Neodiprion lecontei: one gene and its partners. The protein of the gene in region 3 purifies or fractionates together with the protein of the main gene of each other region. This does not show direct contact. Links are inferred from orthologs where the notes say so. Each region holds a gene or a part of one and is shown on either strand. Other genes may lie near its edges. The genes, in order: anaphase-promoting complex subunit 1, anaphase-promoting complex subunit 13, anaphase-promoting complex subunit 2 and cell division cycle protein 27 homolog.

The links.
Region 1: the proteins of anaphase-promoting complex subunit 2 (region 3) and anaphase-promoting complex subunit 1 fractionate together in Homo sapiens (co-fractionation; 8 studies listed by BioGRID and IntAct, with this or other methods). This does not show direct contact. The link is inferred for Neodiprion lecontei from reciprocal best matches to the Homo sapiens genes ANAPC2 and ANAPC1.
Region 2: the proteins of anaphase-promoting complex subunit 2 (region 3) and anaphase-promoting complex subunit 13 purify together in Homo sapiens (affinity purification with mass spectrometry; 3 studies listed by BioGRID and IntAct, counting the BioPlex papers as one, with this or other methods). This does not show direct contact. The link is inferred for Neodiprion lecontei from reciprocal best matches to the Homo sapiens genes ANAPC2 and ANAPC13.
Region 4: the proteins of anaphase-promoting complex subunit 2 (region 3) and cell division cycle protein 27 homolog purify together in Homo sapiens (affinity purification with western blotting; 20 studies listed by BioGRID and IntAct, with this or other methods). This does not show direct contact. The link is inferred for Neodiprion lecontei from reciprocal best matches to the Homo sapiens genes ANAPC2 and CDC27.

The regions. Positions count from the first base shown.
Region 1 is NC_060265.1:30,811,827-30,816,449, forward strand, and holds the start of anaphase-promoting complex subunit 1, read right to left. Parts: upstream 3,045-4,623; coding exon 3,021-3,044; intron 2,706-3,020; coding exon 2,562-2,705; intron 2,471-2,561; coding exon 2,159-2,470; intron 2,078-2,158; coding exon 2,007-2,077; intron 1,944-2,006; coding exon 1,831-1,943; intron 1,528-1,830; coding exon 1,258-1,527; intron 1,167-1,257; coding exon 752-1,166; intron 482-751; coding exon 292-481; intron 188-291; coding exon 1-187. Other genes in the region: protein PBDC1, read left to right, coding at 3,460-3,480, 3,716-3,781, 3,891-3,950, 4,027-4,380. UniProt on the Homo sapiens protein: Component of the anaphase promoting complex/cyclosome (APC/C), a cell cycle-regulated E3 ubiquitin ligase that controls progression through mitosis and the G1 phase of the cell cycle.
Region 2 is NC_060266.1:5,014,165-5,017,435, reverse strand, and holds anaphase-promoting complex subunit 13, read right to left. Parts: upstream 1,350-3,271; 5' UTR 1,252-1,349; exon of another isoform or gene 1,011-1,251; intron 932-1,010; exon of another isoform or gene 914-931; 5' UTR 870-913; coding exon 633-869; 3' UTR 547-632; downstream 1-546. Other genes in the region: AN1-type zinc finger protein 1, read right to left, coding at 96-521. UniProt on the Homo sapiens protein: Component of the anaphase promoting complex/cyclosome (APC/C), a cell cycle-regulated E3 ubiquitin ligase that controls progression through mitosis and the G1 phase of the cell cycle.
Region 3 is NC_060261.1:6,129,831-6,136,043, reverse strand, and holds anaphase-promoting complex subunit 2, read left to right. Parts: upstream 1-2,022; 5' UTR 2,023-2,043; coding exon 2,044-2,145; intron 2,146-2,460; coding exon 2,461-2,899; intron 2,900-3,120; exon of another isoform or gene 3,121-3,163; intron 3,164-3,293; coding exon 3,294-3,532; intron 3,533-3,626; coding exon 3,627-3,807; intron 3,808-3,894; coding exon 3,895-4,120; intron 4,121-4,210; coding exon 4,211-4,395; intron 4,396-4,480; coding exon 4,481-5,026; intron 5,027-5,102; coding exon 5,103-5,542; 3' UTR 5,543-5,709; downstream 5,710-6,213. Other genes in the region: uncharacterized protein LOC107222515, read right to left, coding at 1-5, 452-590, 671-900, 1,850-1,865. UniProt on the Homo sapiens protein: Together with the RING-H2 protein ANAPC11, constitutes the catalytic component of the anaphase promoting complex/cyclosome (APC/C), a cell cycle-regulated E3 ubiquitin ligase that controls progression through mitosis and the G1 phase of the cell cycle.
Region 4 is NC_060266.1:21,419,523-21,426,355, forward strand, and holds cell division cycle protein 27 homolog, read left to right. Parts: upstream 1-1,640; 5' UTR 1,641-1,754; coding exon of another isoform or gene 1,755-1,776; coding exon 1,777-1,800; intron 1,801-2,112; coding exon 2,113-2,188; intron 2,189-2,466; coding exon 2,467-2,614; intron 2,615-2,810; coding exon 2,811-3,188; intron 3,189-3,276; coding exon 3,277-3,586; intron 3,587-3,677; coding exon 3,678-3,866; intron 3,867-3,986; coding exon 3,987-4,230; intron 4,231-4,334; coding exon 4,335-4,515; intron 4,516-4,650; coding exon 4,651-4,876; intron 4,877-5,035; coding exon 5,036-5,163; intron 5,164-5,340; coding exon 5,341-5,662; intron 5,663-5,764; coding exon 5,765-5,909; intron 5,910-5,996; coding exon 5,997-6,115; 3' UTR 6,116-6,295; downstream 6,296-6,833. Other genes in the region: type 1 phosphatidylinositol 4,5-bisphosphate 4-phosphatase, read right to left, coding at 68-277, 769-953, 1,098-1,182. UniProt on the Homo sapiens protein: Component of the anaphase promoting complex/cyclosome (APC/C), a cell cycle-regulated E3 ubiquitin ligase that controls progression through mitosis and the G1 phase of the cell cycle.

The DNA of each region.
Region 1 (4,623 bases), on a different chromosome or scaffold from region 3:
GCTTGATCAATGAACTTCTGCGTGGAAATGGAGAGCTACCAAGTTTTTGGGCAAAATTTGGAAGATAGTAGTTCGAACTTGACAGAGGAGACAAAACTCCAGCAATATGAACCTTGCCTACGCAGGTCACTCCGGAATAAAGTGCGACTCCGTTGGACAAATCTACCGTCACAATCATGTGAAGTTTCTGAAAAATCATAGGTACAAAACAAATTATACCAAATATAAATTTGTGCTGACATGGAGAAAAATATGGAATTGTTTTGAATTAATCATATTCATTAATCTCACCGGCAAACTGACAGCATCTTTTGCAACTATACTGGTAACCATTCCGAAAATAATTTGTTGCTGTTTGTTTGACTTCTCAAGTCGTACCAAAAACAGTTGAGATCTATTCGGTACTAAATATCCCAAATAACTTTGACCGACAAGATCCGATGTCAATAAAACCTTCGATGCAGGTCCAGATATGACATCCCTTAAATTAAAGCGGAGTAAGATATGCTTGTTACTTCTCTTAACATCATAATCACTGAGATCATTATTTTTTTTCAGGGTGGATACATTTGCTTCTAAATTCCAAACTATGGCCAAAACAAAGTTAATACAGAAACTCACTTCTGATTGAAGGTCCAAAGGAACTGCAAGCACAGGTAAGACCTAGATGGGATATCGGGAAAAATAGGAGGATTGGTAGGAGAGCAGGGGGTTCGACACTTGATACAAGATCTTGAACACTAATACTCACTTTGAAACTCCAACATTTTCTGTCCATACGTGATCCAGGCAAAGTTCAGGATACAGAGGCCTACTAGGACTGGCCATGGGATCTTGAAGATGCAAGCTACTGCAAGGACTACTCGGACTATTCGGCGACTGCCCCAAAATCGTTGCCATCACTGTGTGATGTAATCTAGTTTGATGAGCTATAGAGCTGCTAGGGCCTCCCAATAACGGAGAGAAAGTCGTGGGAGATTCAGATCTTGAAATAGCAGCCATCGGACTCTGAGATCTTGAATGTTGCTGCTGCGAAGGCGATGCCCCGCTGACAGAGCCTGTCGTATATGACGCCGCACGAGATGCAAAAGGGCTTGTGGCTGCTACTCCGCCACCCGCCAAACTAATACCCATACCAATACCACTTGATTGCAAGTTAGGAATACCTGTTTGGGAGTGGTAGAAAAGGCACAAAACAAGACATTTTTAAGGATGATATTGACATTTTCAATATTTCATATAAACCAATGAACTCACCAAAAATACTGACGTGAGCTTTGCTAGTAGAGCTTCTGTTGGTAGAAAGATTGCTACCGATATTAAGAGGTGAGCCAGTTGCAGAGTGATTTAAAATAATACTAGGTGTAGTGTCATTGCCACAAACGACATGACACTCGTCAGACGAAGCCTTACGGATTTTATAAACTGAATGTAGGCCAGTACGGGTATCATAGACAACAGCTAGCGATGGTTCAGAACTTGTAAACACTATTTTCTGATGCGAATCGCACATATACGAGAGACTACCTGCAAAAATTAAAATTTAATTTATAATATTAACAGTAAGTGTATACTGAAACTAGTTACGAAGTTGAAATTAGTAACGTTGACGTAACGAAACATTGGGAAAAATTACTACGCTGCAATTTCAAAATGACTCTAAAGTAATTGTATTTTCGAAAAATAAGAATGGTTTGCTTTATTACGGTTTATTGTATTTGGAGACAATTCTAAAATTGAGGAATATTACGATATTTCCCAGACTGCGTAGTTCGAATAACATTACTAACTTCGGATTAACTATCAGTTCCATATTTATTTAATATTCACCGTGCTTCAGCAGCAGAGGACAAATTTCGTCCAACGGATGCTTGAGAGAAAATGCTGTGGGTAATTGGTTTTCATTTTGCGCCGCCAGTTTGCTCGCTTCCAAAGAGGCATACCTAAGTAAATGTAACAGCATGTACTGTTGTTGACTTAATTTGCATAGCTACGAGTATAATTACCTCGACACTGTGGTAGGAGCTGGGAACTTTTCCAACAAAATTCCAAACTTCGTAGCCCAAACTGATGATACCTAAATCAATTGATGAAATCGAAATATTTTACATTTTCACATGATAAATTTTTCCAAACAGATCGAAGATTGTCTACCCACTTGAAATTGTAAGCTTGATACATAGTCTTCTCCAGTTTCAGTGAAAACCTTCAGGTTATATGAATCCAGGAGACAAATACACTCAATGGGGCTCCCGCTAGGCTCATTAAAGTCAGGTTGATTAGGAACATTTTCTGGTGTAGTCGAGTGAAACACACACCAAAGAGCATGCTTTATGTCACTGTCACACGAGTATGAAGTTTGAAGCGACCTCGTAGACCCGCTGCCTTTAGAGTGAACGGCAATTTTTCCTGAGCAGTACAATTCCTCTTCGCCGTAAGTTTTGTTTTGTCTAACAGACCAGAATTCTTGCTGTAATTGAATGTTTCGTTAATTGTTTCAAATAAGAGAGTATAATTTTAACTTTATTTCCCAATTCCTTCAAAAATACTCAACGGCTTACAGGCGTTTTTTCTGATATATTCACTTGACTGAGCCTCTGTAAAATGAAACTCTCTCCTGGCGCAGTTTGATTGCTGGCCAATTGCTGGGCAACGACAGAACCTGGATGCCGCAAGATCGTCTGTCGTCCTCCTGGGACATATTCCTTGAAACATGATAAGGAATTTATTTATTTGAAATTAGTTAGCAAGTACAATAAAGTATTCAGTTTAAAACGCCGTGAACGAAATCGTACGATACGGAATTTGCTACGAACATGGCAGAAAACGAAATCGTGAAATATTTGTAAAAACACAAATAATTTTTTGCATAATTTTCAAGTTGGATCGACTAAGATACAGAATGGACCTGAAACGTATTATAGCTCACATCACGTTCAAAGTTTTTGCAATATACGACCGGCAAAGATAACCCAACCTAACATAACATAACCTAAAAGAAACAAACTGAGTAAACTTACCAGCGGATCGGAAGCGGCGATCATTTTCTCCCCGATTTCATCCAGATTTGCTAAGTTTGTTTATTATTTTATCGTAAACACTAGTAGCTGTCACAAAATTTATTTTTAGCACGTTATCAGTGTACGTGTTAGGGGGAAGAATAATAATAATCGGTTTACTCTAACGATGGTTTACTATAAGAAAGGTTTTTGAACTGTCAGTTTATGTAAAGTGTCAGGTCTCGAACTCGTGCATCGCGTGATATTTTCTTTCTTAGAAAATTACAGTCACAAAATTGATGAATAAAACTCAATCAATCTTGTTTGTATGATTGTAGAAAAATTTGGAAAGAGATTTCAGTTGAATTAAACAAATTTTATCCGTTCGAAGCAACGCTCCCAAACTTGACTCTCGACGTATATACGATATAATTATAATAACAATAACATTCGCGCAAACATGGCACATGTGGGTGATGTGGTAAGTAAAATAATGACGCTCAGATACGTTCTATAGAATTTTATCGTCAGATCACAACCAAAATGTAGTCTGATTTTAATTTCCCTGAAAAAAATATCATTCTGCAAGCCTTTGCAACGATTTACAATACCTGAAAACCTATTGTACAAAGCATAACCTATATTTGATATTCTCACTGTTTTACGTACCCATTTCAAAGAAACACTAATCATCAATAATTTACCCTACGATACAGACAGCTGATCAATTGATAGCAGGAAGCAGCGTTCTGTCCAGGCCTGCCGAGGAGTTTGACAATGACGTAAGCCAAAAATAATTCATTCAAACTCAATTACCAGACTCCTAAAGTGTCCTATGTTTCTCAGATTTTCTAAACTGACCAATTTTAATCCGTCCAAAAATTATTCCAGCCATCAGTGGAGGCAATGTGGGCAATCAAGGCGTATGAGCACGCAGAGATATACTTTAACGTTGGTAACAGAATTTTTTCATCCGAAATATCTATGCACATTTTTCTCCAGCTTATAAACACTGTTTCATTTCCAGATATTATGTTCGGTGGATCCTAAGCTCCTAAGACTGACACCGCACGATGATTTGATCTACAAATCATTCAGAGAATCGTTTCCAGACTTTAAAGTAGACAAGATTAACGAGGATGAGCTTAAGTCGCCCGAAGGAAAAGCAAAGTGGAGGCCGTTTTGCGAACAATTCAAGGAGGTTGTAGAAGACTACAGTTTCGGCACCCTGGTAAGGGCGGATTGTGATGGAGAATATTCTGAACAAAACAGCATACTAACATCCAGAATCCAATTCTATGCTATTGAGTTGGCAAGAAACAGGGAAGGTCTGAATGACAATATCAGAGGGAAGTACAAGCCCAGAACGGCCCCTAAGTAGTAATATTCCAATACTTTCACTTCACAAAACCGAGGTCGGCTGATTTATTTTTGCAACTATGCATTTAGCAAATCTCATTATTTACTTAATACTTGCAAAGCTACTAATTTTATGGTCCGCTAATATGTAATAAATCTTAAGAAAATATTTACAGTAAAAAAAAAAGCAGCATCGCCTAATTTTCTCCGATCAATTCCGTTTTTGTATTTCAAAATATAATAACCATATAGTATCGTTATAGTC
Region 2 (3,271 bases), on a different chromosome or scaffold from region 3:
CTGAAAATGTGCAAAAGACAAATATGAAAGTGACAAGATTCAAAATAGAATCGACACAAATAGATAAGATATCACAGATTCGATGACGAATGTACCTTAACAGCAACCGTAGAATTTTTAGCTTTTCTCAAAGAATTGCTGATTTGCTTATCGACTGTTGCTTTTGCTTCGTCAAATTCCTGCCGTGGTTTATTCCACTTTTCCAGTTCCTTCGATTTCTGTTCTTCGCTAATGTCTAAGCAGCCGTGATGACGGTGCGCGATGCAAAAATGTAAGCAACATTTGACGCAAGGTATTTCCACGGGTGAATGGTTGTTACAAGAAGAATCAGAGCAGTAATAATCGGAAACTGACTCAGGAGATTCAACGATATTATCTTGAAATTTTAAACAAGAATGAGCTGATACGTGAAAGTGTTCCTTGCAGAAAATTAATTTGCAATGCGAACATGAAAAGGCCAAGAAATCCAGTTGCTTACAAGCAGATACCGAACAACGAACTCCTAAGCTAGGGAACTCCATTGTTGGCCAAATATTATCAACGATATCAAAATAAGCAGGCTGATATTATTTCAAAACACAGTATAAAATTCAAACTTGGTACATATTTTTTACATTAGATTTATAGCTAGTTTAGTTATGTGGCGGCGTAGGAGAGTGCAAGTGATTCTCGCTAAGTGTGCTAAGTGCCAAGTTATTCCACTTTTGTTCCAATTCTTTTAGAGTCATGTGCGAATCTCCATTGTCACTTTCTGGGTCAGGAAGCTCGGCGAGTGGAACTGATATTTCGTCAATCGGAAGACGTTCCTTGCGCCAATTATCGTCGATCACTTCCAGCAGTTTACCATCAGCACAGACTTGACTGTCCATACCGTGAATTGACAGTACGATCAATTAACGAGACTGACAATAGTCTGGAAAATATGAAAACTCTGATTTTCCTTGTGAAATGAAATTTATCTTGATTGAAATTTTCCAAGTAGTTGTCGAATATCATTTCCATAGTTATACCAATATTGTGATACTGAATTTCAGTTCATAAAATCTATTAGCGTGATTCAGCAAATTGTGGAAGATAAAATTATGAAATGTCAGTATCAATTTTCAAATCACGTACTGTTCCTGATTCTATGAATTTCAACAACAACAGAAATCTAGTCGTGAAGTGATACAACGCTTCTGAAAAAAGTAATGAGTAATTACATTGCACGGTTACTGTAGACTAACTCATAATCTAAGATATGACCCTAACCTGAAACTCGTAATCGACGGAAATTTATGGAACTACAGTGTTCCAAATGAAACTAACGAATCACGTGGCTCATTGTGTATGTATGAAGTTAAAGTGACAGAACTGACAGCACGCAAACGTTCCTACAGAAACGAGATTTCGTTGTTTTTGTATGAAAATAGAGAAAATACATGAACTTTTCGACATTGGTTAGTGCATTTCTTTAAGTAAATATATAATCAGTAGAAGAAAAACATGGTAATTTTGTTCACGAGGTGAACACATTCAAACTTCCTCACGCTGTACCACGTGACTAAAATAAATCAGTGCCTTATAAGCTATCACCACGTGACTCGTTGGTTTAACTTCAGCTATTGGAGTGCTAGTGTCGGTTTTTTGGGCTGTTGATCGGCCCAGCTGCCCTGCGCTAGAAGCCTAGGAGTCAGCGATCAATAAGAGACCAGTACAAACAATTCATCATTTTGCTGTTGTATTAATCAATTTTGGGATTAAATCTTCAGTCACGCCGTTGTTACGTTGATCAACGCAGGGCGTTTATTGCCACGGTGGAAATTCAATCTTGCCGCTTCACTGCCGAGTATGCTAGTTTCGCGTACCCTGGCGGATTTGTTGCAAAGCTGTTCTTGGAATTATTAAACCACTAGCGTGTCATTACTTTTTTTTTGTAAGGTTGGTTCCCATCGTGCGCGCGCATCGTGCATAGAAATGCATGACGATCAGGGACCTGCGTGTGAGCCGTTATCCTGCTGTTATCTCTGATAAAATATAACCGAAAAGTGATAATTGGTCGAGGAAGAATTGAACCCATGTTCGCCTGAAGGATTTCGGTTTATTGGCTGGCCGTATTCATTTGCCTAAATCACGACGAAGCTTAAAATGCCATTGGTAAGTCTCGAGTGGGTACCACTCCTCTGTCAAAACCTATTGCTCAAAACAATATCTGTATACTTTCCACCGTGTTTATCAACTAGCCTTGCGTCAACTTTGCGTCTTGCTCGGATTTCACCCTTACTTTTTTCTCACTTTTGAGAATGTATTCAGAGTTCGCAATCAGCTGAACTTCCCTCATCTCGAGCGACTGTAGTAATGCGAAATATGCCGGATAACTAAGAAATACATTGTGTCATGCGCCTTGACGTAACCTGTATTTCAAGGGCAGTCATTTCCTACTTGTCACTCTCCTGTTTTGTTTTTCCACGACGTAAGACTCAGAAATTCACCTTGGCACTGTTAATCATTATATTGAATTATATTAATCTGTTTAAGTTCGTTGCCTCTGATTGAACTGTCGCTAATATATTTCTTGCATCAACGTTCAGAGGGGCGTGAATTTTGTTGACATTTCGGACCTAAACTAAACGTTGTATCGTCTGTAAACAGAATTGTGATCTTTGAATTAAACTTTGAACATATCAACACAAACATGCGGTGACATTCGAAAACGATCTATAGTATTTAGTATTTAATCGTGCACGAAGAATATGCTGTTGAAATGTGAATAAATTTTCGAATTTTCCGCGCTCTTGAAACATGTTTTACAAAATGGCGGCCCAGTAAGCACATACCTGAACATCGTTGGTCATGCGCAGTGGGTAAAAAATGAATCGCGACTGCTGAAATAACCTTTAAACGAACCCAAAACAACGTCAACATTGATATATGACCTGAAACAATACACGTCTCCAAAATTATGTCGAATTCGCGGATTTTTCGTCTCTGACAGTTCAGCCGACGTTTTGCAGAACAAGGTTAGAAATCTTTTAAATGCGATCAAAATATGCGGCGAGATTTTGGCCAAATCGTATCACGCTGCCAAAACTTGACTCGCAATCAGCAGTGACTCGCTTTCTTTTCAGCAGACTCTTATTTTTGCCCCCCCAAAAAAAAAAAACCGTACCCGATTTATCTCGATTTACGGATTGAGTTGCGTGTTTTTTTCATTCGTCGGATAATTTTTTCCTCACCGCGCTAGTGATTTTACAATATATATCAATGATTTTACATGCACACGCTGTTGAAA
Region 3 (6,213 bases):
ATTGACTACAAAATCAGAATGTTATGAACGAATTAATTCAATACTGTTACATGCAAGTTGATTAGTTATAAGGGAAAACGGACTGGACAGCTCTTTTATGCTTATTTCCTGCTTCAAAATTTAATGTCTCAATTCTGTAGAATCAAAAGTGCGAAACTAACGGATTCAATTTGACCGTTTATAATGTCAAGGCAAGTCAAGTCAATAAATACAGTTAATACGTTGTTCAAATTGAATATTATCCCAAAAAAGTTTTCTATTTGATTTGGTCAATTTTTCTACAGTTTCCTTTTTCCCAACGATCCCCTCATTTTTTTTGTTGCTTGTTGCTTTTATGAAAGTCAAATATTAGATTAGGTTCAAGAAATTCATGAGAATGGTATAAATTTTTTCTTAGAACACTGTAATAAAACTGCTCCTGACATTGTCCCATTTGATATTTTTCACTTACTTCGCTGTACTCGAATTACTTTGGGCTTCTGCCTCTGTTTCTTACTGCCTGTAGTCAGATCTGAGGGAGAATACGGCCTCGGCTTTCTTCTCGGCCTACCAGTAGATGTTGGAACAGAACTAGTTGCAACGTTGCCAACCTGTGAATATAAATGGATAATAACATGACTTAACAGTTCCGGCGTAACTTCAAAGTTTCTTCAAACAGTCCTATTCTTACCTCTACAAATCCACTTTGCCCAGTCTCAACTACTTCCAAATTGCTGATTCCCCATATCGGACACAAATTAACTGCGGGTAAAATTGCATAGTCGTTCATGTGACTTGCAACATTATCTTGAGCAATTTGATCATTCAACTCAATCAGTTCCTGGCAGTGCAACTGCCTGTTTTCATCACACTTGTAGCTACTTTCGTCGGCGGTTTGAAACATCATTTCCGAGGTATTGCCTGAAGATTCAAGTTACCATGAGTATGTGAATTAAAAGGTACAATTTCTTTTATTCAACAATCCTTAATTCATTATTTTTTTGTAGGCATGCAAATATATTTCATATTACGAGTGTGGTGCTATATACTAATTCATACTCCACTGACTGAAGTTATCCCTGAGACAGTTCTACGAAATTAATCATAAATTAAATTGACAAAACGATTTCTCTTCTAAGGCAAATTGTTTACGTAAGACAGAATTATGGAAATATTCGATGCACACTTTTATCACTATTCTGTAGTTCATGTATTTTTCTGCAAGTGGATTCGAATTCATGAAAAGATCACAATTCAAATTGAACCAACTTACATAGATTATTGCTAACATTCGACAGGTGATAAAACTTCTTGCCTTCTGAATACGTTTTTGGATTACTCCTGAACGGAATAAGAGAATAAATTTTCCTCTAAAAATTTAACGATTTTAAAGTAATGAAATGGCATTTACTACAAAAATGAATTCAAATTTTAACAAAACTTGTTACTGCTATCAGTATCACGATGAAAAAAACAGATATCTACACAGTTGAATGGTAAAGAGACGTTATACCTATATTATTCCTCGGTTCAATCCGTGTTCAAGCGGAATCAGAAAACCTCCGATACTCATACTCGAACAATAGCATTTTTGTTTTTTTGTTTTTTTTTTTTTTTAACGGTACGGAATTCCCCGCTTAGCAGAGTTAAAATACATCGCATAACCTATTACGTCTATCTACAATACAAAATAACCGTAAACATTATTATTGCATCGCGTATTACTGCTTGACGTTGAGTCTTCCCGCATTTATAGGTGCATAATTTAACCTTGTGTCTTAACTAATGATTCTCGGTAGAATTCAGAAGAATCAGGCAGTTTTATCAAAATTTATTATAATAATATGCTTTTCGATTCGAAACAACTTACCGACGAGACACTCCATATTGGAATGTGTGGAAAAACACAACAAATGAACGTGAAAATGTCCGTAAGATAATATATAAGGTCAAACTGAAGTTGTTGAAATAAAAACTTGGTCACACACGAGTGAAGTAGGCAACAGCTGTTTACAAAATGCACGTCGAATTGACATTAGGATCACTAAACACCTGCCAAACTGTATGAACATTGCTGCAGATATGGATATGGCGGCAATAAATGCCGCGTCTGAGCAGGACGTACTCTTAAAAATCGAATATGCTTTTCCGATCCTCAGACAGAAGGTATTTCAATTACTCATCCCTCTATTTTTCGTTGGTGTATCATCACTAGTTATTTAGTCTAATCAAAGAGTCGTCAATCTTTAGGCACGGTTTTCGATTTTGTTAAGGTTATGTTTACGATCTGCGTTATGAATTTTCAAACTCAAACATTTACACTGTTGTCATCTAATATCGTTATCTACGGCTAATTACGAGGATTACAAATATATTATTGGATCGAATTAAGATAGTTTTAAATTTTGTCAAGGTTCTCATTATTTGTTTGAAATCTTCATATCGGAGAGTAATCGTACCTGTCATTCCATTATTATACAGGTACTCAGCGAATGTTCTGACGAACAGTTTACCGATATACTCAAGCAAATAAATGATTTGAAACTGTTGGGAAGAATTGAGGAAATAGTTATACAAAGTATAGAATACTATATTCGTCAACACGTAGCTCCAGACTTCTGGAGTAATTTTAGCAGTACAACAAATGAACAACATGGATTTGAATGCTTCAAAAACGCCGTTGACGGCTTGTATTCCAGCTTAATAGAGTTTCTACCGATGTTAAAACGACTAGAACAACTTGTACAAAGCAAGGAGTCTGATGGATCGTTCTATGGGGAAAACAATATTTTAGGACAGTTTAAACTTATTGTTAAAGCTACGTTATTGAGTCAACTTGCATTGAATCATGAAATAATCATAGAACACTTCTATAGAATTGCATTCAATGTGTTCTGTAATACTGACACCTCACCGCAAGGTGAGTTGTTTGAATTAAGGGAAAAAGAAGTAATTGCTCTTTTCACTATTTCTGCTCTATTAATCGATCACTTGGTATAACAAGTATGAAAATTTCTAATTCAACTGGCTGTAGTAAATCTAATTTTAACAAATTCCGATCATCAGTCAGTGTTAAGTTCCAGATTACACACCAATTAGTATTAATGAGTTACAAGACCAGTCTGCAACTTGTAAACGTACAATGATTCAGTCGATAGTTTCAATCAATATTCAAATTCTTCAAAACGCTTTGCTTCAGCGCTATTTATCAGCTTCCAATCTATTCCACCCCAATTTTTCTACTGAAAAGAGTAAACCTATCTTGTTCCTCATCGCCTTGGATCCACTTAATGACAGAATTATTTTTCGTGCAGATGATTCAATTGGTAGTCACAGCCTCTGCAAAGGTTGCAATCGGGAAATAGATGACTGTCAGTGCCAAGCAATAGTATACATATTTCATGAAACAAATCGGAAGTTAATCGAGCTTGAACTGCTCGAGCGATTAGTTGGAAATGTCTTGACTTCGCTGATAAATATCCGCATTGAGAGTCATGTCAATAAAGCGTGTGAGAGCAGTTTTGATGTATCACAATTAACGTTTTTGGAAAACGTAAGTGTACAAGAGTCTGAAATTTTTGTGAAACATCGACTCGCTCACCGAAACAACACTATTGCCTAGAATAACAATACTTTGTATTCCACAGTGGCTCGAAACAGTTGTTATGAGCTGGCTAACAAGAATATATTCTGGAGGCTCTTCAAAATCCCCTTCTTTGAGCAGTAAAACGCGCGAGACAATTAATAAATTCAAATACAAATTGTCCCATTTCCTTTACGAAACATATACGCGAACGAGAATTGATCAGCTGTTCAACATCATTATAGGTAAGGAAACAATAACCGTGATTAAGTATCTACTTGCACAAATACCGTGATATTTCCAAGCCAGGTAAATATATTTCGAAATTTTAGAATACCCTGAGTCACAGCCGGCAATAGAAGACTTACGAGTTGGTTTGGAACGAACAGATCTACGCAAGACGTTGGTTGAAAGTTTACAAGATGCTCTGAAAACAAGGCTACTACATCCAGGTGTAAATACCCCTGATATTTTAACGGCGTACATAGCAGCCATAAAAGCTTTGAGACAGTTAGATCCAACCGGCGTTCTTTTGGAAACTGTTACGCAACCAGTAAAGTAAGTTAATATTCTATTACCCTCTCAGGTCAGATTAAATACCCACATCTCCAGTATATTACAACAAATTTATCTCTTACTTACAACCAGGCAATACCTGAGGAGTAGAGAAGACACGGTAAGATGCGTGGTTAGTGGTTTGTTGGATGATTCCCCTAGCGACTTAGCTGATGAATTGGTGAAGGGCGAATCGTTGCAGCTGGAAGAAAGTTCAGTCGACGAGGAAGACGAAGACTGGGAAAAGTGGATGCCAGATCCAGTCGATGCAGATCCTTGTAAGCTAGGTTTGCATTTTAATATGAGAAGCTGCATAAGTTTTATATTTTTGTAACCCGATCTTTGTGTGATCCTAATTTTCAGCCAAATCATCCCAACGCCGAGTATCGGATATAATTTCCATGCTGGTTAATGTTTACGGAAGCCAAGACCTGTTCGTTAATGAATATAGAACTTTATTAGCAGATAGACTACTTTCACAGCTAAATTATCATACTGAAAGAGAAATTCGTCATTTGGAATTGCTCAAAAGACGTTTTGGAGAAAATCAATTACACTATTGTGAAGTGATGCTCAAAGACGTTTACGACTCAAAAAGGATAGATGGGAATATACAGTCGGATTCCAGTTACTGTGTCGAAGCACACCTTTTCCCTACCTCTGCGCTCATTCTATCGGCTCAATTTTGGCCGCCTTTCAAGGAAGAGTGGAAATTAGAATTGCCAAAAGCTGTTCAGGATCAGCTAGCTAAGTACATGAAAGCATTTGAAGCTCTTAAAGGGAACAGAACGCTATGCTGGAAGCCTCATTTAGGAAATGTAAACCTGGAAATAGAATTGAAAGACAGGAAATTGAACATGAATGTCACACCTATCCACGCTACAATCATTATACACTTTCAAAATAAAAGTGAGTACTAAAGCACGTTTGTAAATACGGTGAAGATCTTATTACTTATTAACCATGTTAATATTTGTATCTCAAGATGAATGGACGATCGACGAACTGAGTGAAGCAATGCACGTCCCAGCAACTGTACTCCGTCGTAAAATAACGTTCTGGGTATCCCAAGGAGTTTTGAAAGAGATCTCAAGCGATAAGTTTTTACTACAAGAAGAAAGTGCAACTAAAAATCGGTCGACAGCTGAAATTGTTGAAGAAGAGGAAGTAGAAAGTGCAATGGCTTCGGCTAGTGATCAGAGGGAGGAGGAATTACAAGTATTTTGGTCATACATCGTTGGAATGCTGACGAATTTGGATTCTATGCCCTTGGAGCGAATACACCAAATGTTGAAAATGTTTGCCTCACAAGGGCCAGGTGCTGTGGAATGTGGTTTACCAGAATTGAGACATTTCTTGGACAAAAAAGTTAGAGAACATCAGCTGTTATTTTCTGGTGGATTATATAAATTGCCTAAATCGTAATGATTGTCTTTACGATGACCGAAAAATAATTAAAAATATAAAATAATTGTAGGCCTTTTGTAAGCCAAAGAAATCATATTGATTCGACTATGACAATTTTTTTATCATCATCAAAGTGTAATAATTATTGGTTTAGTTTTTGTATAGAAAATATACCTTACAAATAGTAAATTGTAATTTTTTGACAAAGTTTTTTCCTACTTATTTTCGTACAGCTTAAAATTCAAGCTTATTGAATAATTGTAAAAATAATTCTTGATAACTATTTTACAATCATCTTATTTTTTGGAAATTTATTGTTGAAAGTAAGGAGTAAACTGTTATCAAAGTTTAAATGAGCTGTCGTATTACATTAATATTGATTTTTTACTGCAAACTTTCTGATTTATCAAGCTGCAACTCTACACATAAAGAGATGTTCGTAATCGTAGTATGAAATCGTAGTATGAAATTCAGTAGGTAAAGTATGAAACCTCTAAGAGATAAATATCGTATTGAAACACAATAACTGAGTTTTATCAGAAAAATCCAGATACCATGATATCAGCGTCAGTCAGTGTGAGTGGGTGGGTGTCTTGATGTGAGATCATTTATTGAGCATTGATTAGATATTTGCAGTATTCCCGCATATCAAAAGGCGTAAAACGTATTACAATTAACAGGAGGCAAAT
Region 4 (6,833 bases), on a different chromosome or scaffold from region 3:
GATTATATTTAGTTTCAACGAGTTACACTGGATGCATTTGTGTCTTATGATGCATCCAGTGACCTACCAGAAACGTGTCATGGCAATGTCCGCATCCAACTCTACACATTCCAGGCATAGAGAGAACGGGCGGAGTTACTGGCGAAGGCGCTAAATTTATTATGCGCTTGCAATTTGGTCTTGGACAAGCAATTCGCTGTGAAGAACTCTTGCATATAAGTAAGCAGTTGCAAGGACAACGGACGTACTTCTTTCCTGGTGGAGCATTTCTTATCGGCTGAAAGGAACGTCATCAATCGTGACTATCATATTAGTATCGTATCCTAAAGTAAAGGATCGAATACTGGTAATACTCAAGATTTTAGATACTTGAAATAAGTTCAAACAAATTGTTGAAAATAATTGTACATTCGCCGAGTTGAATTGAATCGTTCCTTGTTAGAATTAGATTTTGCAAGCTTGCAAAAAAGACTGATGTCTTATCGTTTAGAATTTGAAATGACTGTAAGAATATACAAAATATTTTTTAATACCATTTGATATTTCTATGGACATAAGTGACTGTTTACTCTGTAAGGATTTGAAGTCCTTAATCTCACAATATGAAATAGTTTTTCTCGATATGCAACATTCTATGTGGTGAGGCATTATTAATTTAATATGGAAACGAAGTCTTTTACGTTCGTCGAAAGGTGCTAAATAATATTAGTAAACCGATGTTGATAAAAAAAAATAGTGGAAATAGTAATAAAATGTGGTAAAACTGACTGTAGCTTCGTTACACTGGCAGCATTTAACAACATGTTGATCCCGCTTGCCGGATATGTCTATCATAGCTTGGCAAACTCTGCATGTGACCATAGGGATTCCACCCTGCTGAGTGGACTGGTAGGGTGGCGGTAACTCGTCTGGACCGATCGGACATACTGTATTGACTGTGGATTCAGCGGCAGCTATCAGATACAGAGATTGAAAAGAAGAGTGAAGGTAGAAAACTAGTAATTTATAGTTCGATATTACAGACTTTGTTCTTCTGAGTTGAGAGGTTCAACTTGACTAAATAATGCGACTGCTATGTGTAACGCATTAATACGAACCTGTTATATCCGTCGAAACACTGGTGTAGGATATATTGTCATTTTTTAACAAGGGCTGGCGTTCGCCCTGTTTTCCATCGCCCATTATGGAAAGTTTTTATTATCTATTCTTCGAGAATCACCAAGCTCGATCCACTGACAGAACTCCGATGACAAATATTACCTCTTCCCCTATTGACAACTGGGACTTGATACGACACGTAGAGTGGCAACCGGCTTGCTCATTAATCAGCTGGCATCTATCTTCACATCGCTGTATTTTTGACCGGCTAATTTAGGTTCAAGTACGGCTTTATCGTTCGGCCATTTCGTTGATATTGAACAGAAATCAATCCAAGTGTGAATGATGTTTAAAAAGATTCATGGTTTTTGCACGAAATTATAGCGTATTTCGAGGTATTCAAAATTACCCGGTATAGGCGCGGTATCTTCCTTCTTAGAGATATAGAGATTTTTATCGGCTACTAGTGACTTTTGGACTGTTTGAAGCATTGGATCGGGTGACAGGCACTGCGATATAGAGGCAACTTCAGATGAGTCCAAGAAAGCTGGCAAAAGCAAATATGGAGTCTTGAGAAATTTTTATACGAATTTGCCGAGGAAGTGCACAATTTTCAGATTTCAAATTGAAACGAATCAATTGAAATTCATATTTATATGCGTGGTAAAGGTGTAAACGATGATTGTACAGGAACCAGTGCAGGTAAAATTATCATTTAATTAATATACGGTGTCCAACGTGTTTCAACGATTATTTCTTTGGTTGTAATTTTGACATCCCAGTGGCACGCACGACTTTATTACTTCTTAGATTTATTTTTTCAAAATGAAGCGTCAACGTTTGCAGATATCGTGACTGCAGGATAACGCAGCGACACTTTGTTCTCGTCAAAGTAATAATCTTATAGAAATTAGTTAGTTTGCCTTGAGATCTGCATGTCTTACTCCTTCCGTTTATCAATCAACAAAACATACGAGAATATCAATTGTTTACACGATTTATAACGCTTTTTAGGCTGCCATATGGCACTGTTTAAATCACTATGCTTATCGAGATGCAATATTCTTGGCGGAAAGACTGTGGGCCGAACGTAAGTAATACATAACCATCCAAATATATTCACCGTTTGAAATCGTTAACTTTTCAATGTCACCTAAATAGTCTTTGCCAAAGTCATAAAGCCTTGTGCTAATTAATTTTTACCTCATACAAAAAGAAATCTATTTTATCTATTTAATGTATACAGTGGTTCAGAAACTATTATATCTATATATTCAAAATTTTCAGTCAATACAGTTTCAATGAAATGAATTGCTTCCCTAAGTAGTTACTACTTTATAAAATACTGACGCTAGCCTTCCATTCTAGTCGACACAGAAGATGCATTATTTTTATTGGCAACGTGTTATTACCGTTCAGGACGTGTTAGACAGGCTCACGCTCTGCTCACCAAAAAGGCGCCGAGTTCTTCACAGTGCAGATTTCTCTTAGCAAAGTGCTGCTATGACCTGGAGAAGTTAGTAATCTTAAACCCCGTTTTACTTAGTTTGTAGCAAATTATTATCCACTGTTGTGTATTGAATTGTCCAGAAACTTTGTACCGTGAAATCATGGGACCTTGATCTTCAAACCTTTAGATCCACAGCTGGAAATTGCATGATTCTGTACTTGGAGAATGTATAAGATCAATCTTTGTTTTTTCTATCATGTAGATATGCGGAGGCCGAAGCAGCGATAATCGGTGGATACTATAAGCAGTTGAAGAATTTAGATGAGATAGTGACACAGTTTGGAGACCAGGCTTGCTTCTCGTTACAGATAATAGCCAAGATTTATTATAGAATGATGCGAACAGCGAAGGGAAGTGAGGCGCATAAATTAGCATTAAAGTTGAACCCATTCTTGTGGCACTCTTTTGAGGAACTCTGTAACGTTGGGGAAAAGGTTGATCCTGCCAAGACTTTCCAACTTGACAAACTAGACAGTTTTGCCACTTGCCACGGTACTACCCCGATACTTAATTATGCCAATGAACCAGATCTCATTACTCCGGTTGCAAATAACCCAGTCACACCAATTCCTAATAACATGTGAGTTGAACTTTCGTGTGATGTAATGATTTTTTACACATCTGCACCTGAGATTCTGACTAACGTAAAGTTTCTTACTCTTTGGCAGCACTCCTGCCCAGAATAATGTCGGGAATGGTATTAATTCTGGTGTAAAGTTGTTCGCTACGTCTGATGAAAGTCCAGCAGGTTTTCCATCCCAAATACTAAATTGTTCTGCGGCATCGCCTAGGGGAAAAATGCCTCGCTATCGTAGCATGTTTAGTAACTCCATGAGCCCTTTGACACCGAGCTTTGGAATTCTCCCATTGGAAACTAATACACCGGAACAAATTGGACCGCCTCATGCAACGCTCTCCGAAGCAAACGATCAGAAAAGTTTGGCCAAGCGAGTCAGCAGTTTAAAAGCGCATGTCGGAGTGAGTGAAGTTTGGCAAATAAGTGGTTCAGTTTTTTTGTTTTTTTTCCTCATGTATCGATCTAAAGGTAATTATTTATTAAATTCTGCAGCAACTAATGTCTCGGAAAGAAACGCCTTTGCAGCAAGGTAAACCAGTGTTTTCTCAATCTGGAAACACGAGTAATACAGCAAACATTGTTACGGTCACACCAACGGCTCCAGTCCCGACTCCACAAGCTCTTCAGGGACCCAACGTTAGGCGATCTTCCAGACTTTTTAGTAACAGTTATTCTGTCAAGGTATTTCTGATGAATTGATTGAACGCATTAGATTCGGTTTTAGAATCTCAAATAATTCTCTGAAAATCTGTGATCCTCAATTTGTACTTTGATTAATTCTTTTTTTCAAATTTTTTATAGGAGAATAATAAATCGCCAAATAGGAATAAATTCGCCCCACCAAAATCACCCTCTCGGAAACCCAAAGCAAGACTATCAAAGACTAATTTAAATAAGGCAAACTTCAACGAACTGAATGAGAGAAATAGAAATGAAAAGGAAAAAAGTGAAACGATCACTTCGGACAGAGTGATATCGTCCACTAACACACTAAACCAAAATAACATGATGCACTGCGCTTTACTCGTTCAAAAACAGTGCGCCGGTGAGTCAAGTACCCAATTACATGTTTGGCAAACTTTCTTATAAAATATTGTTTCTCGTAATTAAATTTCACGTCATCAATCAGTTCAAACGTTTATTTTTTAGAGGGACTTATGACACTGTTGAGGGTCCTGGGCACAGCGTATCAACATTTGAGTCAATTCAATTGTTCACAAGCTATTGAACTATTCAGTGTTTTACCTGCGCAGCATTATAATACAGGCTGGGTCCTCTCGATGCTTGCAAAAGCGCACTTCGAGATGATAGATTACAAAAAAGCTGCGAGGTACAGCAAATTTCTTGTTACGTTGAACAAAATTTCGAAAAAAAAAAAACTGTCATTCAATAAACAGAACCGAATTTGCTTCCTCATCAAATGTAAAAAATAGCTAATGTAACTTTTGATGCTTTTCTGCTGTAGTTATTTCGCACAAGTTAGACAACTGGAGCCGCAGAGAACAGAGATGATGGAAATTTATAGTACTGTACTATGGCATCTTCATGCCGAAGTTCAGTTGTCCACCCTGGCACAGGAGCTCGTCTCGGAAGACCGATATTCTCCAACAGCTTGGTGTGCTACTGGAAACCTATTTTCGGCCCAAACAGAACATGAAACAGCGATTAAGTTCTTTCAAAGAGCCATACAGGTATTGCGTCCAATCTTCCAGTCTTTCGCTGTCTCCGAGGAGAAGCAGAAAAAAGAACGGTCCTTTGCTATTCGATTCCGTTTTTTTTTTTATTTTTAGCACTCTTTACATAGAATAGTTTAGACAATAGCTTAACACATATTTTATTTTCGATTATAGGTAGATCCCAACTTCCCATACGCGTACACACTTCTGGGTCACGAATATGTTATGACAGAAGAATTAGACAAAGCAATCACAGCATTTAGAAATGCTATTCGACTTGACCCGAGGCATTATAACGCGTGGTAAGTTCCTCGTTAATCCTTAGCGATACGATACCGTTTTTGTTGAAATTTCTCCCACTGGAATTTTTCTCACCTCTATATTTATATTCTCACAATGGAATTATAAACGTTGGTTGTTTTGTAGAACAACTTATTATTGAATACACAGTTAATTGGATTTGAAATTTTTATCATCAGGTTTGGACTTGGAACGATATTCTCTAAACAGGAGCAGTACAGTTTAGCCGAACTACATTTTAAACGGGCGTTGCAGATTAATCCACAAAATTCGGCAATCATGTGTCACATAGGGGTTGTACAACATGCTTTGAAAAAGACTGATCTTGCATTGAAAACATTGAATCAGGCGATCCAAAACGACCCTGACAACACGCTTTGCAAATTTCATCGAGCAAGCATTAATTTCTCTACAGGTCGACCTGCTGAAGCATTAAAAGAGTTTGAAGAACTGAAGAATATTGTACCCAAAGAATCTCTAGTCTACTATTCGATAGGAAAGGTAAAATATATTCACTAGTACTCATTTTTAATTTCTAAAAATATTGGGCTGATTTTCACTTGCTTTTTTTTACATTCGAAAAATCTTATTTCCTTGCAACAGGTGCATAAACAGTTAGGAAATACGCACCTCGCGCTTATGTACTTTAGTTGGGCCACAGATTTAGATCCCAAAGGTGTCAACAGTCAAATAAAAGAGGCCATACTGAGTCCTGGCCAAGGTGACGATGACCCTACTACACAATTAGGTGAGATGAATCAGAATAATTCCCAAAATTGGTTGAAGGCTGCACTTGCTGGATGTCATATAAAATTCCGGGTTCATCTATTTTCAGCTGAAAGACAGGCACAAAACAGTTCGACGGAACAAGAGGGAGAGGCAAGCGGGGAAGTTGATCAATCAGCAAATGTTACGATTGACCCTCAGATCGACGATAGTGATAACAGCTTATGAGTGTCTTGATCTGGCGTACCGCTACCGTTACTGCTGGCCAAAATACCTGTATACTTTGTTATAAACAGCCCTCACCTAATAATGTAATAGCTAGTGCGCAAGTGCCCATTTGGAATAGACAGCTATAGAAAACGAGGAAAAACTTAATCTGAAATAATGGAATGAAATATTAGTTTATAACTTACGTGACTTATTATTTTTCCTTGACAATATTTACCATTCTCATTTTTCTACGCATCGCGCGCGATAACTAAGATTGTTGAAGATACAAGAAGATTCCGTACAGTAATTCTTACACAATTTTTAGCACATGGATTTTCTATTTACTACTATCCAACAATGCTATTCGTCACATTTGTAATACCGCGGCTGATAAAGTCCGTATTATTCTTCAAGAAAATTGTACATAACAACTACTTTTGCTGAAATTCAAAAAATAACATTTCAACTATTGTACATGAGATGCTTTCACTTTTATATTCTCAGTTTCTATGATCAAGCAAAAATATACAACAAATATAATCATGATTTCCGCAGTAAACCACGGCCGAAGTGCCCTAGGTGTATTTCTGCCTGATGATTATTTTTTCTCATTAATTCGCTTCTCTCCGCAATTGAAAATATGATTAGGCTTCTATCATGTATCTATGTACATTATTGTCGAATAGATTATAAGTATATTGTGTGATTCCAGTGTAAGACGTCGTATGAATTTATC